Linked DNA regions of Diceros bicornis minor. The protein of the gene in region 1 purifies or fractionates together with the protein of each later gene. This does not show direct contact. Links are inferred from orthologs where the notes say so. Each region holds a gene or a part of one and is shown on either strand. Other genes may lie near its edges.

Region 1 (3,904 bases):
GATAAGAGGTCTTTTTAGTGTTGAAGTCCTACTTTTTGAATTTCCTCTCTCCTCTTTTCTGGGGGCAGGACACTACGCACACCCTCCCCCACAAAAGTGCATTAAAAGTGTTCATATCTCTTAAAGCTACTTAACCTCTCTGTGCCTCCATTGCCTGCTCTGCAAAATGGGGATAATAGCAGTACCTACCCCACAGGATAGTTGTGAAGATTCAATGACATACCAACGCATTTACAACAATACACAGTCAGCGTTAGATAAATAATAGCTATCACTCATATACTAATAACGCTCAGATTTACATCTCCAGTTCTGATCTCTCCCCTTCAGATTTATACCCTTTATCCTGTTGGCTATCTTCAACTGTAGCAAAGACAGCTCAAACTCAGCATGTCCAGAAGTGAACACATTATCTCCCTCCCCAGACTGACTTCTCCTTGTTTATATAATCTAGGTGAGGGCCCAGCAATGCCAACGGGCCAGCATCCACTCACGCATGCACCCTAGACTCCTGAATCATCCTTGATACCTTACTGTCGCCAATTTATCACCGCGTCCTAATTTTATCTCCTACTTTTGCATCCCTTCCTCCTAATCAACAGCACTACTGCCTTAATTTGGGCCCCATCATTTCTCATCTGGATTATTTCAAAAGTCTTTTGCTGCTCTCACATCCAACCTCGCAGTCATATTGCTCGTGGACCACTCTTTTCCTGCAACACCCCCACCCTCCAATAAATCGACTCTCCGTCACTTACTAGCGTATGAATTTGGGCAAACGGCTTAACCTGTGCCTCGCTGTCCTTATTTGTAAGGTGGAAGTAAGAGTGCCTGCCTCATAGGGTTGTTGTGTAGATTAAATCATTAATCATGCAAAGCACTTAGAATGTGCAAGTGCTCAAAAGTGTTAGCTTGTTACTATCGTTGTAACTGTTTCCTCGCGTCCGTCCACGCTGTCCTTAGTTGGAGCTGTTCCTTCTCCCTGGAAAGTCCTTCTCCGTGCCCGGCGCTCTGCCTCTGCGGGTTACTGCGTGCGCGCTGCTATCGTGGCGCCGACCGCGGAGTCTCCACATGCTCGAGCAGTCCACTCCGAAGTCGGATCCTTCCACTAGACCGGTAACTTGTTGAGTGAAGGGACTCGGGCTCGTCGTGAGCTGCCGGTCAGGGTCCACTCCATGGCCCTCGGGGGCGGGAGGCCGGCCCCGCCCGATCCGGGGCGGCGGGTGGGGGTGGGGCGGGACTCCTTTTCCTCGCCGTGGCGGCGGAGGCGCACGGCGTGGGCTCGCGGCGAGACGTCGTCGTCGTCGGCGGCGGCGGCGGCGGCGGCGGAGGAGGAGGAGGAGGCAGAGCAGGCCGAGGGCTCCGCCGGACCGCGCGTGGATGGAGCCCGCCGCCGCGCTGCCCCTCGGGGGCCCGGGCCCGCTGGGCGAGTTTCTGCCGCCCCCCGAGTGCCCGGTCTTCGAGCCCAGCTGGGAGGAGTTCGCCGACCCCTTCGCCTTCATCCACAAGATCCGGCCCATCGCCGAGCAGACGGGCATCTGTAAGGTGCGGCCGCCGCCGGTGAGTCGCCCGGGAGGTCGGGGCCGAGGCGGGCGGAGGAGGGGAGCGAGCGGGGGCGGCGGGGCCGCCTGAGGCCGGGGACGCGCGTCCGACCCGGAGTCGGCCCGGGGCCCGGAGGGGGCGCGGTGCTCGGCTGCCGGCTGCCCTCCCGGCGCGGGGTTTGGTCCCGGGGCCGGGCCGGGGCTCCGCCTGGGCGCGGGCTGCGTGCGGCGGGTGAGCTGGGGGAGGCGGCGGGGTGAGGGGCGGATGTGTGAGGGGTGCGTGCGCGGCTGTGTGGGACGGGTGTGTGAGGGGACGGGTGTGTGAGGGGGCGGGTGTGGGGCGGTGAAAGGTGGGGGACGAGTGTGAGTGGGGGTGCAGGAGTGTGTGGGACGTGTGTGGTGACGGCGGCTGTGTGTGAGGTGGGGGGCGGTGAGAGTGGGGACGCGAGTGTGAGGTGGGGGCGGCGGTGAGAGTGGGGGCGGGGAGCGCGAGTTGTCGCGCGGAGGAAAGTTCTCAATATGGCGGCGGCGCCCGGTCCTTTGTGTGGCGGCGGCGGCGGGCCGGAGCCGCCTCACCTGGGCGTCCCACCCTCCGGACCGGGGCGCCCACTCCCCTGGTCCCCGGGCTCCCGTGTCCCCCGGGCCTGGGGCCTCCGGGGGCGCGAGGAGCCGCGGGCTGGCCCCGGCGCGGCCGTGCTTGGGGGCGGCGTTGTGGGGCGGCGGGCCGGGCCGTGCCGGTGGGCTGGGTTGGGGGGTCGGCGAGAAGACCCGGGAAGGTTAACGCTCGTGTCCGCGTCCCGTCCCCCGCCGCGGCCCTCCAGCCCCGTGTGGGGCGCCCGGCCTGGGGGCTGTGTGAGGGCGGGGGTCTCTGCTGCCACCTCTAACGGCCCCAACGCTCGCTAGGAGAGCCGGGCCCACTCCTTCCCTGTCCCCCTACCCACCCCCGGCCGGAACCGGAGGCGCTCCCACCCTGTTCTTTTGCCCACCTTTCTGATGGTCTGAGGCTGAGTTGGCCTAAACGACGGTTGGACGCGCTGGGACCGTTGTGTGGGGGGGTTAACTGTCTTTCCTACAGTTGGAGTCTTCCCCGCTCTCCTCCCCCGCCCCACCCCACCCCACCCCCATGAGGAAGAGCCCCCTTCCATTCCCTCCTTTCTTGAGCTTGCTCTTCGTAATGACACTTGGGGTTCCGGGGATTCTGTACGTAACCGTTGTGTTTTGGAAAGCTGTTTTGAGGGAGATCCCTCAATAAGTCTTCCTTATCTCTTCCCTGTCCCCCCAGATTAAAACAGGGACCCCATACTTTAGTTTTTCTTGGACAAGTTTGATAATGGAGATGAAATATGTCTCAGAAAAGTAACTGCCCGGCGAGTATGGGAGAAATGTTTGAAAGTAGATGCGTTTCGCTCAAGAAGTGGACAAGGTTGATTCTTGTTGCTTAAGGGAAGTGCATTTGTTTTAGAGAGCGAAGAGGCCTGCAGAAGTTAAAACCGGGCTGATTAGAGCCAAGGTTTTAATTCTTGAAGAATAGGTCATGTTTCAAACATTTAGTGTAGTTTTATGTTATATGTTAGGAAACGTGAATATGAATATTGTACGTTTGCCTTAATGGGACTTTATTCAGAAATTTAGGCAGTGCAAGTTTTTGGTAACCAGAATGTGTGGAGTCAGGTTCCTGGGAGTGAGTTGTCCTCCATGTTGGTATTGTGGTGTAGTACTAGGGTAAACCCTTTATCTTATTTCTTATTCTTTGCTTTTTTTAGGGCTTTTTTCCCAAAAAGGCTGTGTTGCTCTGGTTAGGTTTGGCTACCCATTTCCCCTTTTTGGCTAAGATATTAGTGGTAAGCTTTGCAAAATGTGTGATGGTACAGGATAAGGCAATAGCCTTTTCCCATTCTGAATGTCAGACAGACATGATGGCCACCATTTTGTAATGAGAGTAGTACATACTACAGCCTGGGAAAGGGTGTTAGAGGCACAAATAATCTACACACTTAACCAGTGCTCTGTTTTGGAAACCTTCTTTATGTGGAGGGGGCTTGCTTCTTCCTTTGTTTAACAAACTTCTGTACCAAATGGAAAGAGTTTGGGAGTATTTGTTGTTGATATAACCAGAAAAGGGAAAATTTTCCAGAAGTTGTAGCTCTTGAAGAAGGGTCTTGTTGGAACAAAGACTTCTTAAGAGAGAAAAACAGTCTTTGTTTTAGAAACTCTTGTTTTAGGAAGCTAACTGTGAACAAGTGGTTTTATATAGTTGAAATAAAGCAACAAAAAAACCCAAGAAGTATGAAGTATTTTCCATGGCGTTAGCTTTTTAATGCCTGTGTTTCTAGATGTTTTTTGTTCACTAAGTTTTTGGAATA
Region 2 (3,904 bases), on another chromosome or scaffold:
CTTGTAAATTCACAGTCAGAAAACAAGAAGATGAGAAATCAAGGCTCTGCTTTAATTAGTTAAAAAGATAATTGTGCCAGTGTGGTGGCAACGGAGAAAGGCAGGAAATAATTAAAGGAACTATTTCCCGCTTTCCTATTTCATTTTTCCTCTGTGGTTTTTAAGCTTTTGGCTGAGAAATTAAGAAGGTAGACTCTTTATCTCTGCAGTATTTAAATTCTCCGTCTAGGGCGTTCTGACTTTCTTTTTTCCCTACCGAGAAAGAAGTTAACGCCGTGTTTTGTTTTAACAACGCAATAAAAGAAAACAAACTGGGGTCTCCTGCGGAAGCCCGGCTGAGCAGGAGGGCTCGGAGAAGCGTTCTTACCAAGCAGAAAAGACACGACACGGCAAGGTCAAGGACGAGAAAGGAAAGGAACAGCGCGGTGGCACCCTTGAAAACGTGCCGGGACTGGATGTCCACTTGCATTCCCGGGGACCGGGGGACCCCAGGGCGAAGCGGCAGGCGCGGGGAAAACCGGAAAGAACAGAAGAGAGGACAGCACGAGTCGCCATGCATTTTGGCTCCATCACAGCGGTGGTTGGTGCCACTTCCTAACATATATATAGTGAAGTCTGTCAAGATAAGGAGGGGAGGGAGAGAGAAATAAAGCAGAAAATTAGTACCAGAATGAGCAAGGCAGTGACATGCAAGTTACTAGTAGTAACTTCGGGACCTCGGTTTCCGAGGAAAATGAAGTGAAGCATAAGAATGAAACCAATTAGGTGACATTTGAACTTCCTGCCTGAGCAAATTTGGCCTGATTGCCAGAATCCAAGAAGAATACTGCAATTTCCACAGGGTGCCCGACTCCTCGCAGCCGCATCTGATTCCCAAACAAGCTGCCCGCAGCGGTGTCTGCAGCCGGCAGCCCCACGCCGGCTCGGGCCCCCGGGCTGCGCCCCAAGTCCGGCCCCGGCCGCGCTCTCCAAGTGAGCGAGCGGGTCTGAGGCTGCGGCAGCGCGAGAGGCGGGGGAGGGTGGAAAATGCGAACCATGTGTTGGGGATGGGGGGATGTTATGGGTCTGGTAGTTTGAGATGAGGCAGGAGACTGTGTGTGGCAAGGAAACGAAGGGCATGAATTTCAAGTTAATGAGATCAGGACACCCCCTGGGAGGACTCCTTACATTTCCAAAGGAAAAAGCCTCCGGTGGTAGGATAGACGCGCGCCCCAAGGCCGCAGATAACGGAAACCCCAGCGAGGGTGCGGAGGGAGGCTCTGCACATCCACGCATCCGCCCCTGAGCCCTTACCTTGGTCGGTGATGGAACGAATGCCCAGGATGTCGGTGACGGAGTGGGAGGAGGGCCAGGTGCGCGGCATGGCCACCGAGCCGGGGATGGCGGGCACCCCGGGCGGCGTGGGCACCTTAGCGGTGGCCGCCGTGATGGGACTGGGGTACGAGTAGATGTGATTATAGGGCAGCGCCGGCTGCGGCGCCGGCTGGTGCTGCTTGAATGAGTCGTAATGCCCCTGTTGGGCCAAGTTGCCGATCTTGTTGCGCAGGATGCGGCTGATGGAGCTCACTGAGGGCACGTTGTATTTGTCACACACGCCGTCTGCCAGCAGGCGGTCCCGGATCTCCCAGGCGAAGATGCCGGGGTCCCTCTGCTTGTAGGTCCGGATGTGCTTCACCACGGTGGGGGTGGTGACCCGGGGCTTGCTGCCTCCAATGGCTCCTGGCAAGATCGAGCCTGTCTCGTTGTAGCGCGCCAGGATCTTGCTGACGCAGCCGTGTGAGACCCGTAGCTGGCGGCTGATGTCACACGGTCGGATGCCCAGTTGGGCCAGTTCCACGATGCGAAGCCGGATGGCGTTGGGCAGCGGCCTCCCGTTCACGAATACTCCTCCCAGCTGGTTCACCTCCCCAAAGGCTGGCTCTGCAAAAGGAACACACGGCACGCGGGAACGCGCACCCGCAGTTTGGGACAGCCGCTTGCCACTCGGCCTCTGCGCCCGTCAGGGGCCAGGGCGGATGCAGCCGCCCCGGACTAAGGACTCCGGCTTTCCCCAAACCGTACGGTCCCTGAGCCTAGCCGAACGGCCCCAAACCACAGCGGTCCAGGCGGACCCCCTCCCTCATTCTGGTGACGCCTGCGGCCGCTACAAGCAAATAAAATGGTGCGAGTCAGGGCCGCTCTGAGTGTTCAAAAGTCTCCGAAGCAGGAGGGGAAATCGGTCTTCAGGCCGGCAACCGGCTCCTTCTTGCCTGCTCGGCGCTAAAAGTCATTGGGCCGCTGCCCCTTGATCCCCAGCGCCCCGCCTGGGGACCTGCGCAATTAGACAAGGGCTAGGGGGAACTACAGGTTTCTTCTGTTTTGTTTGCGCGGATGCGTGTAGTGAAACAGAACTTGGTCCACCTCTAGGCCTGGGGGCTTGCCGATGCCACCCCTCCGTTCTCTTAAAATCAGAAAATGGCATCAACAGCAACCCAGTAGCCAGCGTTCAGACTGAACTGCTGTGCGACGCTGACCCTTAGCGGGTTCCTACAACTTGTAGGAACACGAACAAAGTCAATAAGGAGAGCGCGAGCGCTCAGTAGTGCGCGCCCTCGCGCTCCCTCCCTCTCTCGCCCGCTCGCTCCCTCCCTCCCTTCCCGGCTCTGACAGCGTCCCCCGCCGCCACTCACCCATTGCTCCGAGCAGTACACCGACCGGGCCCCAGTTCCGCACTCGCAGAAAGAAACTTTTTGCACGGCCTCAGTGGCCCGGCCAGTCGGTGCCCCGGGCCGCCGGCGCCTCCGCTTCTCCCCGGGAGGAGGCGGCGAGAGTGCAAAAGGAAGGAGTAAAAGGAAGTCTGTGCCCTGATGAAAGAAGCTTGAGTTCTGCATTTCAATCTAAGCAGCAGCGTGGGCTGGGCTGAGCGGGGCCGGGCGGCTCCGTCTATCACTCATTAGGGTCACGCCCCCAAAGAGGAGGGTCCGAGGGCAAGCAGCGTGGTGATTGGTGCGGGCCAGTGAGCGACAGCGCGGTCCGGAAAGTCCTTCCGCTGTCTCGTTCAAGCCTGCTCTGCACCTGGGTGACTAAATACAATGAAAATGGGTGTTTGACACCTTCCCAGGGGCAGCGCAAACAGATAGCAAAATCGGGCTGATGGAAATGCTGAATAAGCAAATGAAAGCGTTTGGTCCGCGTACTAGAGACTCGAAGAGGGGAGGGGCTGAGGAGACTGATTTGGGGGGAAAGACGGACATCTCAGAATTGAAGTCAAAACTCGGTGGGTGGTGGGAGCCACCGTCATCGGAAGGGGGGTTCTTAGAATAGCTTGTCCTGCAGGCCTCCGGGGGATCCTACCTCACTCCAGCCTAGCCAGGTGGCGAGAGAGCAGATGTGAGAAGGTAGGCCCGTCGAGGGGACGAGGAAGTTTTGAGGAGACCCAGCCAGAGATGGAGGCCACTGTTACCGCCAGGTGGAGACCCCTCTCCCGCCCCCGCGACTAGCTCCCCATAGCAATCTCTAATGGGTTCATCTAAGAGCGCGGAGCCAAACCTCAGCCACGCAGGCTCGAGGCACTGGCCGCGCCGCGTGCAGACAGTGTAACCACACGCGGCCAAAGCGAGGGCACGGCCATGGTCGACCGATTGCCTTCGCGTGGGGCCCTCTTCGCGGAGGCCCGCGCGCCGTTGCGCTCAGCCACCGTGCCGGTCCGCTGGTCCTGCGTGCCGACGTTTGTCATTTCCCCCCACCCCTGAACCGCTGCAAAGGGGTTTTGTTTAAAAATGAAAGAGACTTGGTCTCAAGAAGGTGAACCCCGAGCCTGCACGTGTATGTAATTCCCGCGTCTTCCGTTTAGCTATCAGAGTCCTTGCGTGGTCTACTTCTGAATTTTCACTTTCGTTCGCTCTAAGTCTCTTTTTGGTGGCCA

The links.
Region 2: the proteins of KDM5B (region 1) and PAX9 purify together in Homo sapiens (affinity purification with western blotting, with the first as the bait; 3 studies listed by BioGRID). This does not show direct contact. The link is inferred for Diceros bicornis minor from reciprocal best matches to the Homo sapiens genes KDM5B and PAX9.

What each region holds. Positions count from the first base shown.
Region 1 is NC_080777.1:30,853,751-30,857,654, reverse strand, and holds the start of KDM5B (lysine-specific demethylase 5B), read left to right. Parts: upstream 1-1,365; 5' UTR 1,366-1,380; coding exon 1,381-1,560; intron 1,561-3,904. UniProt on the Homo sapiens protein: Histone demethylase that demethylates 'Lys-4' of histone H3, thereby playing a central role in histone code. Does not demethylate histone H3 'Lys-9' or H3 'Lys-27'. Demethylates trimethylated, dimethylated and monomethylated H3 'Lys-4'.
Region 2 is NC_080744.1:12,973,868-12,977,771, forward strand, and holds the start of PAX9 (paired box protein Pax-9), read right to left. Parts: upstream 2,674-3,904; coding exon 2,670-2,673; intron 1,921-2,669; coding exon 1,294-1,920; intron 1-1,293. UniProt on the Homo sapiens protein: Transcription factor required for normal development of thymus, parathyroid glands, ultimobranchial bodies, teeth, skeletal elements of skull and larynx as well as distal limbs.